3 linked regions of the Mus musculus genome follow. The protein of the gene in region 1 purifies or fractionates together with the protein of each later gene. This does not show direct contact. Links are inferred from orthologs where the notes say so. Each region holds a gene or a part of one and is shown in the gene's direction. Other genes may lie near its edges.

Region 1 (6,360 bases):
GATCAAGTCGTGCTTCTGGCAGGCTCGCCGCTGGAGGATGAGGCCACCCTAGGCCAGTGTGGCGTAGAGGCCCTGACCACTCTGGAAGTAGCAGGCCGCATGCTGGGAGGTGAGTGCTTTTTTTCAGAGCTAATGGAATGTCTGTAGGTAAACCATGTGATAGGTCCTTTCTCTGATAGTATACTTGTGCCTTCTAGGGACTTTAGATCGTAGTGATAGTTAAGTCTGGTTTTCAGTATCCCCACTAAAACCTGGTGGTAGGGAGGCAGTGACGCAATCGGATCACTGTGAATTCCAGGCCAACCAGGGCTACACAGAGGAGCTCTGTCTAGGAAAAAAGCAAAAGGAAAGTAATAATAATTAAAGTCTTGTTATTAGGTTCTCAGTGTGCTCCTCCTGTCTTTGCTCTGTGTGTAGAATGTTAGCTAAGAGTATGGATTGGTTTTTAGAGTCCTTGCCTTAGTATCTGTCAGCTCTCAGCACTGCACAAACTGGTTGTGACTTGAAGTGGAAGACAAGACGTGGACAGCTATGTTGTGACCCTGTCTCTAAGCCTGTGCAACTTTCATTCTTTGTTGGGCCCAACTTGTCATTAAAAAGCTCAAGAGTTGAGGGAGGAAGAGTTGCTCTGGGCGTGACCTTGCTACTTAACCTGATCCCTTTCCCCACCCCTAACACAGGTAAAGTTCACGGTTCCCTGGCTCGGGCTGGAAAAGTGAGAGGTCAGACTCCCAAGGTGAGTGATTGGTGTTTGGACTTTGTTTCTTTCTATCACAGCCAAGTGAAGGCCTTTGGATTTCCCGTCTGTGTTCTCTTATGGAGAGAAGCTGGTGGGCAGGCATGGGAGAGGTCACCCAGGGTCTGATCAGTCCTTCCTTTCCTCAGGTGGCCAAACAGGAAAAGAAGAAGAAGAAGACAGGCCGGGCCAAGAGGCGAATGCAGTACAACCGGCGCTTTGTCAATGTTGTGCCCACCTTTGGGAAGAAGAAGGGCCCCAATGCCAATTCCTAAGTCCTATTGCCACCCTGCCATGCTAATAAAGCCACTGTGTCCAGACTTCTTATGTTTTCTTCATTTGTAAGGCTGTGACTAGAGGCTAGCAAAGTGCCTTGGTCTCAAGTAGGAAAAAAAGGGGGGGGGCAGTGGTGGGGCACGCCTTTAATCCCAGCACTTGGGAGGCTGAGGCAGGTGGATTTATGAGTTGGAGGCCAGCCTGGTCTACAAAGTGAGTTCCAGGACAGCCAGGGCTACACAGAGAAGCCCTGTCTTGAAAAACAAAACAAAAAAACAAGGAATCCTTAGAAGATCACAGAGGATGTGTTTACTGAAAGGATAGCTGAGCCGAAATACAGAAATGTGACAAGTGGTATTGGAAAGGTACAGATTCTATGGGCTCTGCCAGACAGCTTTTGGGTTTGTGTTGGTTCACTTTCCATTATGACGGCACTAGTGTTTTTGTTACAGGCATGCCCTATAGATGATCCACTAAGGCAGATCACCCATCTACCCCTCTATAGACCTCATAATGCTTAACAATACAAACTAAATTTCAACACAACTTGAGGGAAAACATTGTTTTTTTTTTTTTGTTTGTTTTTTAAGATTTATTTATTTATTATATGTAAGTACACTGTAGCTGTCCTCAGACACTCCAGAAGGAGTCAGATCTCATTACAGATGGTTGTGAGCCACCATGTGGTTTCTGGGATTTGAACTCGGGACCTTTGGAAGAGCAATCGGGTGCTCTTACCCACTGAGCCATCTCACCAGCCCACATTGTTGGTTTTTAAAAGAGATTTATTTATTATATGTAAGTACACTGTAGCTGACTTCAGACACCTCAGAAGAGGGCATCAGATCTCATTATGGATGGTTGTGAGCCACCATGTGGTTACTGGGATTTGAACTCAGGACCTCTGGAAGTAGTCAGTGCTCTTAACTGCTAAGCCATCTTTCCAGCCCCTCGTTATCGTTTTGTTGTTTTTTGTTTGTTTGTTTGTTTGATTCAGGGTCTCACATAGGCCCAGGCTGGCCTCAATTTGATATGCTTACGTGTTACGTATTTTGAGCTCCAGATTTGTTAAACATGTCGGGTTTATTCATTTATTTTTGTCTGTTATTATTATCAATAATATTTTTTCGAGACAGGGTTTCTCTGTGTAGCCCTGGCTGTCCTGGAACTCACTCTGTAGACCAGGCTGGCCTCGTAACTCAAAAATCCGCCTGCCTCAGCCTCCCAAGTGCTGGGATTAAAGGCGTGCGCCACCACTGTCCGGCCTGTTGTTATTATTTTGTTGGCCTTTTCTTTTTTCAAGATAGAGCATGACTATGTAGCTGTATCCTGGAAAGCACTGACTACAGGAACTCACAGAAATCAGACTACCTTTGCCAACGCTGGGATTAAAAGCGTATGCCACTACGCCCTGCTAAGACCCTGGTGTGTTGTTTGGTGGTGGTGGTGGTTAGTTTTGTTATTTAAAAGGTAGTTTATTTTTGTACAATTTGGTACAACCATAAAGAACAAACTGGGATTAGCGACATGATTTTCCCAAATTCGGCGAGCAAACCTGTTCCTTTGGAAGAGTTTGGACGACTTCTGCGCTTGCTCAAAGAAGTACTGGAGACACGAAAGTTACCGAGAAGTTTCGGAAATGTGCGGAAAGGAGGCCACGCCCGCCAACCACCCCCACACATAAAGGCGGAAATAACCAAAGAAGCGCCGGAAGTGGCGGAGCTGATACGGGACAGGCGGCACCAGTTTCCATGGAGCCCGCTGGGCTCTGCGGCTTCTGCCCGGCCGGGGAAGCGCTGCCTGCGCGCTACACCTGCCCGCGCTGCAATGCTCCCTACTGCTCGCTGCGCTGCTACCGGGCGCACGGCGCCTGCGCCGAAGACTTTTACCGCGACCAAGTGCTGCGAGAGCTCCGTGGCCGAAGCGCTTCGCCCAGCCGTCTGGCGGGCGCGTTACGCCGGCTGCGCGAACAACGCGAGGCCGAGGATGAGCCCGAGGAAGCAGGCCTCGGGCCCGGGGCGCGGCCGGGCGGCCTTTCTGGACTTTGGGAACGTTTAACGCCGGCTGAGAAGGCGGCGTTCGAGCGGCTGCTGAGCCGTGGCGAAGCCGGACGCCTTCTGCCTCCGTGGCGGCCCTGGTGGTGGGGCCGCGGCACCGGCCCACGTTTGCTGGAGGAGCTGGATCATGCCGCGAACAGAGATCTTGCGGAGCCGGAGCCCGCCCCTGCGAGGACCGCGCTGCAATCTGGGGATGATGCCGCTGCCGCAGAGCCATTTGCTGAAGACTCCTGTGCCGCCAGACCGCTAGCATTGCCTGCTCGCATCCCAGCACTGGCCAGTCTGAGCCGCAGCCCGGCATCGCCGCTGGTGCGCTTCCAGCTGCCCAACGTGCTGTTCGCCTACGCTCATACTCTCGCCCTGTATCATGGAGGGGACGACGACGCGCTACTCTCTGACTTCTGTGCCACCCTGCTCGATGTTTCTGGGGCCCTGGGAGCCCAGCAAGTCTTTGGCTCTACAGAGGAAGCCCTGCAGGCCGCAGCCCACGTACTGGAAGCGGGCGAGCACCCACCTGGGCCCCTGGGTACGCGGGGTGCTATGCAAGAAGTTGCCCGAATCCTGCTGGGCGAGGGTCCAGTCAATCAGAAAGGCTACACTCTGACAGCACTGGGGCACCTAGCTCAGACCCTGGGACGAGCCCGGAAGCAGGCTGTGATTGGTGGAGAGCGAGATCGACTTTACCGGGCTCGGAAGAAGTGCCAGTTCCTGCTGGCTTGGACCAACGAAAACGAGGCTGCCCTCACACCCCTGGCGCTAGACTGTGCCAGAGCCCACCGAGCCCATGCTGTGACAGCTGAGGAGATGGCAACGCTTACTGGAGAGTTAGAACGGCTTTGGGGAGGCCCAGTGCCACCCACTCCAAGGACTCTCATTGAGGAACTCCCTGGCTGAACTGGGTATCCATGTCATTAATAAAGATGTGTCTGGTCTGCCCGAATGTCAGCAGTGCCTTTTCCGTAAAGATAGTGCCCTGTCCTAGGCTTCTCTTGAAGTTACTGTGTAGTTGAGGATGACCCTGGAACTTTGATCTGTCACCCACCTGGACAGTGAGAGGTTACAGGGGTTAACCACCTTGCTAATGTACACAGTGCTGAATAGCCGAGGCGTCCTGTGTGCTACACAAGCACTCTATAACTGAACTACATCACATCCCCCAGGCCTGAGGTGCCCAGTTGTCTCTCCTCGTCAGACTTTTGGACCCACAAACCACTTCTAAGCTTTCCTTAGTCAACTAGTCACCCCCAAGCCTCAAGTCACTGGCCCCAGGATAGAAGAAAAACACAGGAAAGGTTGAAAACATTTATTCAACAGGGAAAAATACTTTCCTTCTGGAAGCAGTGGCTTCCTCTTGCTTTCAACCTCTTAGGTGGACCTGCTTCAGTAGACATAGGGTATGATTCGGTAAGGCACACGCTTGCAGTACTCCTGCCAGGCACGGCCATACTTTTGGAGGCACTGCTGCTCATCTCTGGCCTCGCGGTGCACCAGCAGTGCAGTGAAGTAGAGGACGTAGAAGTAGGGCAGCAGATGGGATAGCCCTGGAGGGAAGGGACCCATGGGATAGCCCTGGAGGGAAGGGACCCATGGGATAGCCCTGGAGGGAAGGGACCCATGGGATAGCCCTGGTGGGAAGGGGCTGCATGATCAGGCACTAGCACCCATTTCATATAAAAGCTTTCACAGCTGATGGCACACAGGGTGTCGGGTCATAGGTTTTGTGTCCACCTCCATTAACTGATTAGTCAGTCCTCCCACCAGGCACACCGACCTACTCCAAAACCCACTCACCACAGGGCAAAGACCATGCCAGAGCCATGATGAGATCTCCCAGGTAGTTGGGGTGTCGAACCATACCCCACCACCCAGACACCAGCAGCTGCCTCCCCGTGGCAGTCGGGATGGTCTCAAGACCTAGAAATACAGCTAATGAAACGGAACCACAGAGCCTTCCTGGTTCATCTCACCCATAACCTCTAAGAGACCCAGCTTACCAGCCACGCTGGGGTCAGAAGGATTCTTCCTGAATGTGTTTTTCTGGGAGTTGGCCCCTCGGAAGATGTAGTAACCAATAACTGAGGGAAGGTACGGTACGAGCAGGTGGTGAGGTAGGAGTCCCAGCCTTTTGCCTAACCCTGACCAAAGCCTGTCCAAATCCCAGGCTCTGCTATGATACCCAGGAGCTGGCTTCCAGCTTTAGAGAAGCGTCAGAGCCTAGGCCCTACCTGAGGGGTACTGAATAAAGCATGAATAGAAGGGGAAGGGGAAATGAAGGGCCCTCCTACTGACCCTTAAGGAGGCAGATGAGCAAGGCCATGGGCAACCCCAGAGGCTGTGGATGGTACAACAGGAACTGGGCCTGCAGGCTGTAGGTGAATGGTACCCAAGCTAGATCTCCAAAGACCAGCATGAAGCCAAAACCATCATGTATTATGTCCATGGTGGTGAGGACAGACTCCTGCAGGAACATGACCCAGATACTGGCTTAGTCCAGATGACATCCTCAAGATCCCCTGCTTGCCTCTTGCTCTCCAATCCAGTCTCACCTCATACCAGAGGGCATCACCCACATACAGCAACTGGAAGCCATTGACCAGCCACATAGCCAGGGAAGGACTCCCCCGAAGCTCTGCCTCCTGCATCAGCAGGGCCAGGTTAATGAAAACCTAAAGGAAGTGAGGACAGGGCCATTGTCTGAAGTGGAGCATCTGGGTAGAACAGTGCCGACCTCGCCCTCCTTCCAGCTGCCCGCTCACATGTTGAATGGATCCAGGTCGTGTACTCGAGACACACTGGATTGCGACTCTGCCTTGACTTAAAACTCCTGCCTTGGAATCTGAGCTTTATCACTTGGGCAGAATATGTCTCTTTGCTAAAACTCACGTCCCCACTGCCATATGGAAACAGGAGTAATCAGGGCCCCGCCTTGAGTTCTTGTTGGAACACTAATATGTTTGTAGAGCTAAGAATTGGCTTATTATGAACCTAAATTTTGTACCCTCTTCCTCCTCCTCCTCCCTTTTTTTTTTTTTTTTTTTTCCGAGACAGGGTTTCTCTGTATAGTCTTGGCTGTCCTGGAACTCACTTTGTAGACCAGGCTGGCCTCGAACTCAGAAATCCACCTGTCTCTGCCTCCCAAGTGCTGGGATTAAAGGCGTGCGACACCACCACCTGGCCCCCCTCCTCCTCCTCCTTTTTGTCATCTTCTTTATAAGTCAGAGTTTGGGGCTGGAGAGATGACCTCTTCCAAAGGTCATGAGTTTAATTCCCAGCAACCACATGGTGGTTCAC
Region 2 (7,611 bases), on another chromosome or scaffold:
CTCAGCACCATGGGCAGCTCGTGGCATGCGTGCACATGCACACACACAGAGAACTCTAGCCTCTCTGTGCACCTACAGGTGTCTGTACAAGCGTGTTCTCTCTCTCTCTCTCTCTCTCTCTCTCTCTCTCTCTCTCTCTCTCTCACACACACACACACACACACACACACACACACACACACCACAAAGGGGGGGAGCGCTTTACAAGTCCAAGCTTCAGCAAGCCTCCAGCCTTAGGCTCTCACAGAGATAACATTTCTTGTTTGGTCTCACGAGCACAGGTGTGGTCCGAATGAACAAACCCTTTGCCATTAGCAAGTGCAACAAGCAAGCACGCATGCTGTGTGGCAGTACCTGTGAGAACTTGTATCTTTTCCATGGCTGTTGTTGGTAGAGGAAATGTCATCCAGTCGCTCTGGAAGGGGGTGGTGGTTAAGAGCGTGCTTTGTTAGTCCTTTCCTGGGAAGGATAATAAAGCTGTCTTTATATTTTACATTTCCTGTAAAGAAGTCACACTTACAGTATTGTACATGTACACGCATGCCATGGTGTGTATGTGAAGACTGCGACCAACCTGTGAGAGTTGGTTCTCTCCTTCCACTTTGTGAGTCCTGAAACTGAACTTGGTTGTCAGCCTTGGTGGCAAGTACTTTTACATGCTAACCATCTTGTTAGCCCCTAGTGAACATACTTTAACATTTTTTAAAAAAATCATGTGTAGGTGTCTATGCTTCATATGTACCACATGCACAAAGGATGTCAGATCTGGACTTTGAGTTACAGGCAACTGTGAGCCCCTGTTTGGAACTAAACTCAGATCCTCGACAAGAACAATAAGTATTCTTAACTTTTGAGCCACCTTTTCAGCCCTACCATATACTTTTAAATCATGTCTACCACTAGAGAAAAAAATTCAAGCGTACATTCTTAACTTTACAAATAAATACAATACAATTCAGTAAAATCTCGGAATGCTCACCTCCACTGAGAATGTTTGGAGCCAGACCACTTAGATTTAACACTGACTCTCACTTAGCTAATCATACATCATAAGCAGTTATTTAATTCTGTTTTAAGTGAAACGCATGCACTAGGGATTCATGATGTGTGGGCAGAGAAACTTGTAAGCCTCTGTTTAACCTACCTTGTCTCCTGGGTATGTCTGACTAGACAATTTTGTGGGGAAACAATGCCTGCTCTAGATAACTATGTCTGGAAGATAGAATAACTAATGTATTGTTTATTCCAGCAGACAAGCCCCAGCAGAAAATAGACTCCAGAGGAGTAGTGCCCAGCAGGTAGATGATTAAAAAATTATGAATGTTTTACATTTTGAGGTGGTCACACACACACACAAACCTCACACCTTGCTTATATGTGTAAATACAAATTTTAAATGAAAGTCAAGGCTGGAAATATAGCTTAGCAGTGGTACTTCCTAGCATATCTGAGGTACTAAGTTCATTTCTCAGAACCAAAAAAGGGTGTGGGAGACTACACTGAGACAATCAACCTTGCTAACCCCTTTTTAACATCTATAACTAGTAACTGCTAAAGAATGCTACTACTTCAAAATGGATGGGCTCTGTAACAGCTAACATTAAACATTCATTTAAATACACTATCATTTCTATGCATTTAATCCTCATTGCTCACTCTATTATGATTCCCTTTGGGAAAGGCTATTTTTAGGAACTATAAAAAACAGCATCAAGAACAAGTAGTACAATACACAGGGTCAGAAATTTCAGCTCAGGAGATGCCTATCCAGAGTGTCTTCATACAACATGTATTTTTAACATCTCTGGTTAGAAATAATTATAAAAGCAAATCTGGGGCTGATAAGATGGCCCAGTAAATAAAGGTACTTGCCACCAAGCCTCATGACCTGAGTTCAATCAACAAGACTCACATAATGGAATGAGTGACTCTTGGAAGCTGTCTACTAACCTCCAAATGTGTGCTATGGGCCGGGCAGTGGTGGCGCACACCTGTAATCCCAGCACTTGGGAGGCAGAGGCAGGTGGATTTCTGAGTTCAAGACCAGCATGGTCTAAAGAGTGAGTTCCAGGACAGCCAGGACTGCGCAGAGAAACCCTGTCTCAAAAAACCAAAAAAAAAAAAAAAAAAAAAAAAATCAAAAAAACAAATGTGTGCTATGGTGCACGCGCATGTGCATGATACACTAAATGGAATTTTAAAAATTAAAAGCAGATTTTAAGTTAAATCCTTCTCACTTTGGGGAAATGATTATTTCTTAGTTTTATTCCCTAAGGAGCTTATTATCTGATTTGCTGTTGTGCAAATAACATATTCCTTAATAGATAACATGCTTCTGAAAAGCAAGGAGAGGTTCTCTTCTTTGTATGGCTCTTTTACCAAGTAAAGGCGGGAAGAAGAAAGTAGTGCTATCACTTATTGAGGATCTATTATGTACCAGCCCTACGTCATCATTTTAGGTATACTTGTACATCTTAGTTGTATACATAGACAGGAAGGCCCAGATCTAGTTAAATTTCCTAAAAGCTAAGTGGCAAGAAAAGTATCCATCTAAAAATCTCAGGTGTGACTTTAAATGAATGTTATTGGAATGCATAATAAGTGTATGGCTGTTGAAATTGCTTACTTCAATGAGGAGGACCAATGGGACTTGGTTTAAACGTTCAGGCCCTATTGGGTTCAGATGTGGAAGCTTTCTAATTTTATCTGAGCAACAGAAGCTAGTTACAGCAATCTTTCAGAACTGCTGAAAGGACCAAGAAACTGCAGGTTCTTTTGAAATTGCAAAGTACCAGTCAGTAGATATAAGGCTCTATGTTACACTTTACTAAGGGTACAAAGCAGGTTTTTAAACTACCAAAGTGCTTGCTTTTTAGCATTATTTGCAGGGGGTGTGACGGCAATGTGTGAATTGCTTGACAACAGGCTTTACAATCGGATTGACCCTTGGTTTGTACGTCTGAGCTGCACCACCTTCTAGATACAACCTTTAGACCTGTGATCTTTATTTGTAGGATGTGCAAAGTTGGTCTCAACCTGATTTCGCTATTGCATTCAAGCAAACAGCTTTGCATGGTGTTCTGAACTAGACACGTTCAACGTTATTGTAGCATTTAAGCTATTATCTTCAGTGGGGTCAAAAGCACTGTGGGAACAACGGATGCAGCACTCCCTCAATTCAGGACCTAACAGTCCCAAAGGCACACCCTAAGCTGGTGACCCAAAGACAAAAGGCAGCTTCCACCAGGGCTGGGAGGTGAGAATCCGGGATAGTATTTTCCCTCCCTATGTCTGGGACGGGAAAGGAGAGGACGGGCCTTATAAGGTCCCTTGAGCTCCGGCGGCCCAAGCTGGGCGAGCAGAGCAATCCACTCACAGCTCCACGCTCTGCGGCACGGCCTTCCGAGTGTATCTGGAGATCATCCTCCTTTTTCTCCTCTGCGGCCAGGGCGGGCAAGCCAGGGCGGGGGCCTCGGGGCCTGGCCCTCCCGCCGGCTCCGGCCCGGCCCCCTCCTGCCACCTACCGGCCCCGTCTCGCCCCGTCTCGCCCCGTCGCTTAGATTCCGGACCGCCACCTCCCAGAGTTCCCACTCTATAGTCTTCCGACCTGCCTCCTTCCTCTCATGAGCGGAAGTGACGAAGGTACAGCGTCTTTCGGAAATTGGCTCCGATGCGCACTAGAGACTATACTCAGGGTTCCGAGCCTCACGACTTGCAGGCGTTCAGGCGTGGATCAGGGCCCAAGCGAACGCGAGGACCCAGCATGGGCCGGGATTGGGCGGTTGGTGGTCGCCTCTGACCAAGTGTCCTGCTGGAAGAGGCAGCCAAGGAAAGGTGCCAGAGCAGAGGCGCACGAGAGAGCTATTGAAAGGGATCGCTTTACTTTTGTCAGGTGGAAGAAGAGCGTCTAGTTTGGTGAAGGAGCACTATACCGCGCCAGGACAGTGCTCCTGGTGGCTCCTCTTCTGTACTCTCGGGTATGTCATTTTTCATTAATTCCCATGATCTCAAGTCCAATTCTGACTCTGTAAATTCTACATAAAGAGCCCTGCTTGGATTTAGGGTGAGGGTGGGTAGAGTTTTTCCTTGATCCGCCAGGGTGAGAGGCAGCACGATTCTAATTTACAGTGGTGAGTGGGTAGTTGCATAGAAGGTGCAGGTTCCTTATTGGTTCATTGCAAAGCCAAGTAAGCTTAGGAATTAAATTGCTGCGTTAGGTGGGCATCCGGAACCATGACCAATTATTTTGGGACGAAACTCCGACACGCAAGTGTTGGCACTTTTAAATCTTCTATAGAAGCCCTGTAGAGCAAGGGGCATTGCTTTTTAACGCACCTAGTAACACAATTTTAAAGGAAGGTGTTTTAGAGACGGCAGACTAACACTTTCATTTCACGACTAAGTAGAAAGCTCAAGAAAGTAAAGTGCCCAAAGTATGCCACCGACTGAAGCACGGTTGGAAGGTGTGAGAGAATAATGGATAGTAATGGAATGTTTTCAAACTGTGTTACACACACTGCTGCCGACTGAAGGGCAAACATTTATTTATTTGTGAGAAAGGATCGTCTTATGTTACCTAGCCTAGCCTCAAAATCCTGGACCCAGGTGATCCTTTTGCCTTGATCTCTCAGCTGAGACCATAGGCACACCTAGCTATTTTTAACTTTTATCCTCACATACTTCTTTGGTTTGGGAAGTGAGTTGTTGGACTTTCATTTACTCCATAATATCAAGGTTTCCAGTTCACATAATTTAATTTTAAGGAAGATAGTTTTAAGTCTGTTATTCAGAGGATAAATCAAGTGGTGTCTGGTAAAGGCCGGAACCATGATGGTAGGTGTGTATCAAATTTGGGGGAAATAATGTAGTCACCTAGAAGAATTCTGAGAATGCTGTTATTTCTCCTTTTGTGTGGCTTATGTCCCTTGAACTTTGATGGCCATTTTTAGAGAAGAATGGAGGGCAGTGGAAAGCTCGCAATGGTAGAGGATGCTGTGGAGTACCATCTCTTCCTGATACCAGATAAAGCCAGAGGCACAGAAGAGCACAGAGAGATTCTTCAGAAGTACATTGAACGGATAATGACCCAGTTCGCACCCATACTGGTCCCTTATATCTGGCAGAATCAGCCTTTCAATCTCAAATACAAGCCTGCAAAAGGTAAAGTAAGCCTTCCTTCTGAGAGACTTGTTCCATAACCTTAAAAGCCACTGACGTCTGCCCACATATAGCCAAGCCCCTAACTTTAACTCTATAGAATATCTTTATGGCTAGGGATGCGGGGACTGTGGCTGTGGTATGGACTCTCTCACTGTGCCTAAGTGTGAGTGCTGGTGCTGCGAAGGCCCAGGCTTGGGACTTAGTCACAGTTCTTTTTCTCTGCGCAGGACTTATCTCCATGATGCCTGTGGGAGGTTGCTTTGTTTCATGTAGCTGTTTTCCTGAGAATCCAAGAGTGACTTTGTCTGGCCAATAAAAACAACTAAATGGGTTTTGTTACTGTCCGTTGCCACCCAGAAGCATTTCCGGTGTCCTTTACTGCTGTCACCAGTGCTTACGTCCAACTCTAGCAAAATACAGTCATCTGTTCTGTCATGTCTTCTAACGTTATGAAAATGAATGAGTGCAGCCAGGCTGTATTTACTCAGTGACTCAGAGTGACTGTTGAGGATCGGGAGCCTTGGATCTTTGGATCCCGCCATTCCTGTTCACACTTCAGTGCTAATGTGTTAGATTTGGCTAGCAGCCGCTCGGTTTCTCCTGTGGTATTACTGTCACTGAACTTTTTTCCACCACTGGGCATTGAACCTGGGGCCTTGTGCGTTGCTAAGCAACTGGTCTGCCACTGAGCTACTTCCCCAACCCTAATTTTATTTTCTAGATACAGGCAATGTTTATTGACAGGGAGATGAGCAAATTAATGTGCCACATATAAAACGAGCCCATTAGACAGGTATGGTGGCACACACCTGTCATCTTAGCACTCCGGCCTAAGGCAGGAGAATCACCAGTTTGAGGCCAGCCCGGGTCACAGAGTGAGAGTCAGTTTCCAAACAAAAACAACCTATTATCTTTTAGAAAGCCAGGCTTACCCTGAATTTTCCACTATGTGATGGCATTGCTGAATGTTACCCAAGATGATTAGTATTTCAAATTTACAGTCCTTGCTTTGCTATGTGCCGTGAGGGACAGAGCAGGAAGACCTAGTGTCAGCACCTCCAGATACTAGGGGCTTGGTCTCAGTGTGGGAGACTCCAGCTTCTGAACTTCCCTGAGCTCCACACACCATTGGCAGGTGCCTTGGTACAGCACAGATTAGACTGTGCCACTCGCTTCCTGTGGCTGCGGGGGAGGTTTCAGTTGAAGTCTGATATATAATGCAAATGAAAATCGTACTCTGCTCTGAGCTCCTCTAGCTGGAGAGATAGGGGATTTGGTGAAGCAGCTAAGTTGAGAGGTTGTTCCTCTCACATCTTTTGGTTCTCTGTTTCTTTGGCTTGGTTTTTGCCATGGTTGCTGTGGTGCCTTGGAGTGCATTTCTCTGAGCTTCATGCGGTACATTACATCGATTGATTCCTTAACTTTTTGTTTATTTTATGTGCTTGGGTGTTTGCACATACGTATGTCAGTACAGGTCATTCACACAGTGCCCTCAGACAGAGGCAACTGGGGTCGCCAATGTTTGTGAGCCACCATGTGGGTGCTAGAAATTGCACCCAGATCCTCTGGGAGAGCAGCCACTGAGACGTTGGTTGACTCTGTATGTTGAACCATTTTTGTCGTACGGGAACAAACCCCAATCGACTGTAGTATTATAACCCCTTTCAATGTGTTGTTGAATCTGGTTAGTCATCTTTTCAGTGTTGTGATAAAAAAAAAATACCTGAGAAAAATCAACTTAAGGACTTATTTTGCTTATGGTTTCAGAGAGATCACTTGGCTCTGCTGTAACTCAGCCTGCCCTCAAACTCACAATCCTCCTGCCTCAGCCTCCCTAGCGCTAGGATTATGGGTGTGTGCCACTATGCTCAGCTGTTAGATAGAGGCTTTTGATTGCTGATCCAATATCCATCATAGTTATAAGTCTGATAATACTTTCTACTTCTTCTTGATTGCATCAAGACCTTAATTAGGGGTTTATTAATTTCATTTCTTATAGCTTTCCCAATTTCTTGGAATAAAGACATTCATAGATTCCCTTGTAACCTTTTATACTCTACAGAGAGAGTATAATGTCTCCTCTTTCACATCTGAATTTAGTTGTCTCTTCTTAGTGTAATTTTACTGACCTCTTCTCCCATTTAAAAAAACAACCCTCAGTTTGTTTCATTTATCTCTGCTGTGATTGTCTTGTTTCTCCTGCTAGGTTTATGCTTTGTTTGATGTTTTTCTTCTTTCCTAAAGTGGGAGTGCTGGTTTGAGATCTTACATAACTGTAAACTGTTACTTTAATGATTTTTGCTAAGCTATCTTACACGCGTTCACGACCGGCCAGGAAGAACACAGCAAACCAGAATCTTCTGCGGCAAAACTTTATTGCTTACATCTTCAGGAGTAAGAGTGCAAGCCCCCCATTGCTTACATCTTTAGGAGCCAGAGCGCCAGAGCGCA
Region 3 (7,043 bases), on another chromosome or scaffold:
ACTGCATTTCTACACCAGCCACATCCTGCAAAGTAGGATGCAAGGTGAGGCTATGAGAACTTGAACATCTCAGTGCAGGACTGTATCAGGCTCTTGTCTCTCAATGGCTCTGTGTGGCTCATGCTTAATCAGGACATGGTTGGTGGATATGGCCAACCCCCTTGGCACATAGCTGTTGGTCATGTGGGCTAGGCCTGGGCTTGCTGGTCAAGGCTCTGACCTCTTCTTTCCCCTAGTTCTTCACCTGCCTTGTGATCCTGTTTGCCTGTGAGGTGGCTGCAGGCATCTGGGGCTTCGTAAACAAAGACCAGGTAAGCCTAGGTTCACCGAGTGGGAGATATGCCCTCTGCCCTCCAACAGATGTGGGTTGCTCTGAGCCCATAGTTATAGGGTGCTTTTTGAATTTCTTGGACCTGCTGCTTGGGTGGGGGCAGGGTCTTGGGAGCTCAGTGGAAGAGGTGGCATCAGGCTGAGCCCATCGGGAAGTTGAGTGCTCTTGGGCGTAGCCCCGACACTGTATGTGACTATGATTCTCCCCCAGATCGCCAAGGATGTGAAGCAGTTCTATGACCAGGCCCTTCAGCAAGCTGTGATGGATGATGATGCCAACAATGCCAAGGCTGTGGTGAAGACTTTCCATGAGACGGTATAGCTAGGCTCAAGCAGGAGGGGAGGCTGTGGGGTTCCTAGTGTGTGAGGGCATGGGTCTCCTTTCTTTCCAACACAACAGGGCCTAGGAAAGGGTCTCCTCTATGATTTGTGGGTCCTCAGGTAGGAATCTAATGGGCCTCATTTTCCCAGGGGTTTGAAGGAACAGGGCTCCTGTGCAGGGTGACAAACAGGGCAGAAGGACAACTCCCAAGTGTATTTTGGGGTGACGGTGTGCTGTGTGCCTGATCTTTCCCTTGTCTCCTGAAGCTCCAAAGCTGACAGTGTTGTTCTTGGTCCCTGCAGCTCAACTGTTGTGGCTCCAACGCACTGACCACACTGACTACCACCATACTGAGGAACAGCCTGTGTCCCTCAGGCGGCAACATACTCACCCCCTTACTGCAGGTAGCATGGAGTGGGGATGAGGTGGTGGTGGTGGTCGGTAGGGTGGTGTGGCCAATCAGGAAGATCAGCACTTTGAGCAAGACCTCAGAAGTCCCATAGACCATCTCTATTACTGGGGTACCGGGTCCTCACAGCTTGAGTTAACCCCTGCAACATCCCAGAAAACTGTTCTCTTGAGTGGTCCCTCATACCCTGGTGACCCTAGGGTGCTAGTGAGGTAAAAAAACACTCCCCTGTGACAAAAGGCTGCAGGCAGCAGGTCCGTGTGTCTTAAATTTGTTTTGGGGTGGAAGATAAGCTGTGATACATAGGTCCTGTCACTGAGTAGGGTGGTGGCTGTGACTTAGCCACTGATGGTTAACCACGCTCTTGCCATCCCTGCAGCAAGATTGTCATCAGAAAATCGATGAGCTCTTCTCTGGGAAGCTGTACCTCATTGGAATTGCAGCCATTGTGGTAGCTGTCATTATGGTAAGCACAGGGTCTCTGGTGGGTGGGTGGGATCCTTCCCAGGGCCTTAGGTGCTGACTATGCCCCTCCCTCCTGCAGATCTTTGAGATGATTCTGAGCATGGTGCTGTGCTGTGGCATCCGGAACAGCTCCGTGTACTGAGGCCCTTTGCATTGCACCAGAGGATCCCTGGAGTGACCAGAGGCCACCTTGGGGGACATGGCCTGTGTATATAATATTTCTGTATCACTCTGCTACACTTAGTCTTTTTACTTTTGAGTTTTTTGTTTTGTTTTGTTTTGTTTTTGTTTTAGTTTTTTTTTTTGTCCTGAACTTTTCCTGTTACCTTTTGGGAGCTGACATCACACATGGGTGGCATATGTGGGATGTAGGGGTGGAGCTGGCCCTGGCTTGCAGGGCCCTGTACGTCTGGGACCCCTGGAGAGTTCTGCCTGCTGAGCCAAACCTCCTCTACAGCTACTTGCCCAGAGGCTTTGTAGCCTAGCTAGAGGGCCATGCCCACCCACTCAACCCACTGTGGGTCACATTGCTCACATCTTTTTAATCTTTGTTCCTTTCCTGCCTCCATTTCAAGAGCTGGGTTTGTAAGCCCTCTTATGCCTTCAATGCACTTATTCTTTCTAACGTGTCACCTTCAACTGTAATTAAATCTTGAAACAGTCATTTAATAAAGGAGGAAAAAAATCAGGCATGCTAATGGGACTGCCAGACCTCTTCCTGTGCTAGCGGTGTCAGAGACCTGGCTCATCAGCTCTGAACTTTGCCAGGCACAGGGTGAGCAGGTCCAATAGAGGCTGTGGAACACAGTGGGTGGGGAGGGCTGGGACCCTGGGAGCACTCCATATGGGTCCTCCCTCATTTGTACCTCCTTATACTGGGAGCTCAATGCTGACTTTACGCCAGCCTTGACCTCATTTCCACTCATCTGTTGGACATGACAGGTCAGGCTGAGTCGGGTAGGAGGAGCCACCTAAGCAGGGAAATTCAGCACAGAATGATGGAGATAAGCTGCAAGAACACCCTCCTTTTCAGGGACAAGACAGTAAAGGTTAGCCCATTACCCCATCCATCTCAAGAAAAGATTCCACGGAGCTGGGTGGCTCTGGCTTGTGTCTCAATAAGTAAAAGGCAAGATGGCAGTTCACTTACCCCTGTGAACTGAGGATCAGGCTAAGCAACCTCCCGGACGCCAGGGGCAACCACCACTGTCTCTTTCCCTTTGTCTCCTGTCTGCGCCCCTCCCCCAGGCTGCTGGCATAGTTAATTGGCCACTAGAGGAGAGACGCCCTAGCCAAGATTCATGGCCCAGCTTCTAGCAGCCTCCCAGTAGGCTTATTTGTCGGTGAACCCCAAGCTTGTACTAGGACATTCTAGGTCTCCGCCACCTCTACCTCCCACGCCTATGCAACCTGTTCCGTGCTTGGTTGGTTTCTGGTCTGAGGAGCCCTTTATATCCTATGTTATGAGGTCCATGGGCACCAGGCCAAAGCTGTTGGAGGCCTGCTGCACAGCTTCAGAAACATAGGAAAGGAGAGGCGCATGCAGCAGCCCCATGGTGTCTCAGACTCTGATCCCTAAGGATACAAGAAAACAGCCCCACGCCTGGAGGAGGATTATGTGTGGCCTTGACTAGTAGGGGCGGCGTCCTGCAACTAAAGTGTCCGTTCCTGCGTCAGGAAGCACAGACAGGCAGAGCCCAGGATAGCGGCTTCGAATCTCTGAAGCCCCAACCAACCCACCCCAGGGACCACTACGTCTCTTCATGCCAAGAGCCAACCAGGACCTTGGCCCCGCCTCACTCCAGAAAGCCAACAAAGCACAAGACCCACACCACTTCCGCCCAGGGCCGGAAATGTCTAGGAAACTGGTTGGCGCTCACAGTGCGTGGTGACGCACTTCCTCCTTGTGTCGGACCCGGCCGGGACGGCTTCCGACAGGCGAAGCTGCAGGCCTCAACCCTTTGCGATTGGCAGTTAGCCCTGGAGTATTGTGGGAACCGTGGCTCCGCCTTTTCCTTTTTCGTCATTTCTGGGTGGGTTTCCGTGTGCGCTCCGGGTTGGCACGCTTGTTAAGGTTACAAGTCCCGGCTGACATTAGGCGGGAACCCATTGCCTTCTGGGAGTTGTAGTTTCTCGGGCGCTGAAGCCACGAAAATCTGATCGCCCGAGACTCGGTTTCCCAGGAACCCGAGCGAGACTGGACAGGACCGAATCCCGGGGAACTGGCGGGACGCTGCGAGAAAGGCGGCAGGGTATTGAGGCGTGTACGGACGCTGGAACGGTGAGCACTGGCCTCCCTAAGGCCGCGGCCAGGGCATTCCCGTGCCTGTTTCTGCCAGCCCTTCGTCCGGACCCGGGTGGCGCTTGTACCTAGAGAGGCTGCGCTTTACTGAGAGCCCGTGATGGGACAAGCAGCTGATGGAGATCTCCTGTCACCAGCATCTCCCAGTGCTCATCTATTGTATGTCCACACTGTTATGATCTCATGGTTGACTCTCTCCTTAACCCCACCTAACCTGCAGCTCCTGTATCTGTGCGCGCTAGGATACCCTTTAACCACCCAGCTTCGCGAGGCCTCCCGTCCGGCTGTGAGTAGAGGCACTTGACACATAGTGGAGGTGAAAGACGGGAGCCTGGGAGGACGGGGAGGGATGAGGCCTTAAATACACCCCTCACGGCGGAACTGGGACTGCTTCGCTACAGGTGGGACGGGTGTCAGGTCGTATGGCGGAGACAGAGGCTGGCCTGGAGGCTGATGAACCCACCGAGGATGACACCCTGCCTTCTGACACCGTCTCCCTCAGCGACTCGGACTCGGACCTTAGCTTACCTAGTGGTGTGGAGGTCCAAGTGTTGTCCCCAGAGAGGCTTTCGGAGGAGGGCCAGGAGGACTCCGGCCCTGAGGACCCTCCATCGCCCCCCACGGGCACCCTCACCACTGCAGTGCAGCCATTCCACCTCCGAGGCATGAGTTCTACCTTCTCCCAGCGCAGCCACAGCATCTTTGATTGTCTGGAGAGTGCAGCCCGGCAGGCACCGTGCTCTGCTCCCCAAACCAGTGTGAGTGACAATGGCAGCTTCAGGCGGCCCGTGACTCCCCCAAGTCAGACTCCAGCAAGGGGCCTGAGCAGAGTGCATGGGAACACTGGCCCGACTAGGGTACTCCCAGTCCCTGACTATGTGTCACACCCTGAGCGTTGGACCAAATACAGTCTGGAGGATGTGTCTGAAGCCAGTGAGCAGAGCAATCGTGATGCTGCCCTGGCCTTCCTGAGCTCTCGAAGCCAGGTGTCCCACACAGACTATGTGCCTTCTTTCAACCAGGACCCCTCTAGCTGTGGGGAGGGAAGAGTGGTCTTCACCAAACCAGTGAGGGACAGTGAGGCTAGGGCTGAGAGGAAGAGGGTCCTAAAGAAGGGGGTTGGGTCAGGTGCGGGGGGTGAGGCCGCTGTGGAGCTAGCCCATCTCGCTGGACCTGAGGCTGAGGAATGGAGTGGCCACCAGGGACAGCCAGAGGTGGTGGTACCTTCAGAAGCTGCCCATCCTGAGTCCTCATCAGGCCCCATAGGTGTGAAGGCTGTTGGTTTCCATGGCAGCAAGAAGCGGAGCAGAGACCACTTCCGGAACAGGGACGGTAACCCTGGGGGGCCGGGGTCTGAGAGAGGACCCTCAGTTTGACTGCAGTGCTATCACTCTACCCCTCACCTGCTAGTCCAAGTGGGAAGGTGTGGGCTGTCTGTGGTAGGGGGATGTGTGCAGCCGCTCTGGCAGAGACTGTGGGAATTGTGGGTCAGGGGACCTCGAAGGCCTTTGTGCCCCAGTGTTTAGGATGAATAATAAACGTTTGGAATATTTCTTGAATTGTGTGGCTTTTTCCGGGCCCCACTCAAAGAGTTCTGTCCAAACAGTCCTGGGCAGCCAACTACAGGACTGCATCTCTGGCAGCCTCACCTTGCCTTCCCCACTCCAGTGAGGACTGCCGTGAAGGTTTGCCATGGTCATTTACATTTGTCACTGATGAAACTACCCAGAGGGACTGGGCTCTTAGCTGTGTTCAGCCTTGTGCCCCTGATGGTAGTGAATGAGCATAATCTGCACAACCCACCCCCACCCCCACCCCCAGAAACCAATGCAGCCCCAGCACTGGGCCTGTACAGACCACAGGTTATAGGAAGAGGATGAGTTGTGAAGCAGCATATGGTTGGTGTCTGGCTGTGTCTCCAGGACTTGTGTGTGTAAGACACAGCTGATGCTGGGTCATTCCACTGAAGCTGAGCCAGAGAAGAAGAGAAGGATGCAGGGAGGATGCATGAGCGAATGTTTCCTGTGGAGGCCAGGGACTTGGACCAAGTTAGCTAGACCTGCTAAGACCCAGGTCTGCCCCAGCCTCTGTAGTCCCCATTCTCTGAGTTCCTCTAAAAAGGACCTGGATGGTCATTTAATTTGAGGAGCAGTGGAAGGAACGGAGATGCCTTTCACTAGGTCAGACAATCCTCCATATTCCCCGGGTGTTTGAAATGTCCCGTTTAGCCACCATTGTGGCCCAGTTTAGCTGATTTGAGGTGGTCTACAGGCTTTATAGAAAGTAAAGTAGCATTGGGTACCCTTGAGCAATATCTTGGGGTTTCTGCCAGAATGATCAGACAGATAATGCTGTGGGGGGTGAAAGATGGGAGGTAATTACAATAGATCTGAGTCCTGCCCTCTAGGAGCTGGTCAGCTAATGAGTGGGTCAGGGGTCAGAAAGAAACCTAGTGTTTAAGAGGTTGGCTTCTTAGGAACTCAGGGTAAGACAGGGGTTAGACCTAAATAGCCCCATCCAGGCAGATGGTGTCCTATGTAGGACTTGGCCAGATCCAGCTGTCCAGTCCAAGCCAGTGAAAGCTTTAGTGGGACATGAAAAATCTTGCCCTGCTGGAGAGGATACTTCTGAGGCTCCCGAATAGATGCCAAAGACATGAGTTTCATTCTCTTAGGAAGGGATGTCCAAGAAGTGATCTGTAGCAAGGCCTTGAAGACCATTTCTTGGGGCTGCTGGGAGTGGGGGAAGGTTGATGTGCCCCAAAAACTCGATGTGGCCAGGTCTGGGGCTCTAGAGCAAGTGGTTTCTCCATTTCAGGTGTCAGAGGGTGGCAAGCCAGACTCTAGGTACTCCCTGTCTCTAGCAGAGGCTGGCTGACTCCTGCAACCACAGTTCTGAGAGCCTGGGAGCAAGAAAGGGAGAAAGGACCCTCAGCTGGAGAGCCTCAGCTGGGGCAGGGCAGGAGTGAGGCAAGGGCCAGGACATGGAAAGTGGCAAGGCTAGCAAGGCCAGTGCTAGGCAGAGCCTTGGGACACTAAGGAACAGTGGCCTGCCGAGGGTAACCGACCTCTAGCACAGGTGGAGAAGGCAGGACCTAATACAATACACAGCCCGCAGCTTTGCTCTTGCCCTAATCTAGTGGCTGAAGGGAGGAGCCCATACCCATCTCATTCCCATGGCCTGAACCCATACTTACTTGAGTAGGTGCCTCCTGG

The links. Proteins that work in one complex are often made in the same cells at the same time.
Region 2: the proteins of Znhit2 (region 1) and Ecd purify together in Homo sapiens (affinity purification with mass spectrometry; 3 studies listed by BioGRID and IntAct, counting the BioPlex papers as one, with this or other methods). This does not show direct contact. The link is inferred for Mus musculus from reciprocal best matches to the Homo sapiens genes ZNHIT2 and ECD.
Region 3: the proteins of Znhit2 (region 1) and Tssc4 purify together in Homo sapiens (affinity purification with mass spectrometry; 3 studies listed by BioGRID and IntAct, counting the BioPlex papers as one, with this or other methods). This does not show direct contact. The link is inferred for Mus musculus from reciprocal best matches to the Homo sapiens genes ZNHIT2 and TSSC4.

What each region holds. Positions count from the first base shown.
Region 1 is NC_000085.6:6,058,464-6,064,823, forward strand, and holds Znhit2 (zinc finger HIT domain-containing protein 2), read left to right. Parts: upstream 1-2,743; 5' UTR 2,744-2,763; coding exon 2,764-3,963; 3' UTR 3,964-4,005; downstream 4,006-6,360. Other genes in the region: Fau (40S ribosomal protein S30), read left to right, coding at 1-109, 681-736, 886-1,011; delta(14)-sterol reductase TM7SF2, read right to left, coding at 4,450-4,610, 4,861-4,983, 5,064-5,144, 5,359-5,527, 5,616-5,735. UniProt on the Homo sapiens protein: May act as a bridging factor mediating the interaction between the R2TP/Prefoldin-like (R2TP/PFDL) complex and U5 small nuclear ribonucleoprotein (U5 snRNP).
Region 2 is NC_000080.6:20,344,160-20,351,770, reverse strand, and holds the start of Ecd (protein ecdysoneless homolog), read left to right. Parts: upstream 1-3,649; 5' UTR 3,650-3,977; intron 3,978-4,949; 5' UTR 4,950-4,955; coding exon 4,956-5,160; intron 5,161-7,611. Other genes in the region: Fam149b (protein FAM149B1), read right to left, coding at 355-459, 3,377-3,423. UniProt on the Homo sapiens protein: Regulator of p53/TP53 stability and function. Inhibits MDM2-mediated degradation of p53/TP53 possibly by cooperating in part with TXNIP. May be involved transcriptional regulation. In vitro has intrinsic transactivation activity enhanced by EP300.
Region 3 is NC_000073.6:143,065,707-143,072,749, forward strand, and holds Tssc4 (protein TSSC4), read left to right. Parts: upstream 1-3,661; 5' UTR 3,662-3,807; exon of another isoform or gene 3,808-3,928; coding exon of another isoform or gene 3,929-4,114; 5' UTR 4,115-4,144; intron 4,145-4,229; coding exon of another isoform or gene 4,230-4,250; coding exon 4,251-5,204; 3' UTR 5,205-5,381; downstream 5,382-7,043. Other genes in the region: CD81 antigen, read left to right, coding at 237-311, 542-646, 955-1,056, 1,441-1,527, 1,606-1,668; Trpm5 (transient receptor potential cation channel subfamily M member 5), read right to left, coding at 6,642-6,730, 7,025-7,043. UniProt on the Homo sapiens protein: Protein associated with the U5 snRNP, during its maturation and its post-splicing recycling and which is required for spliceosomal tri-snRNP complex assembly in the nucleus.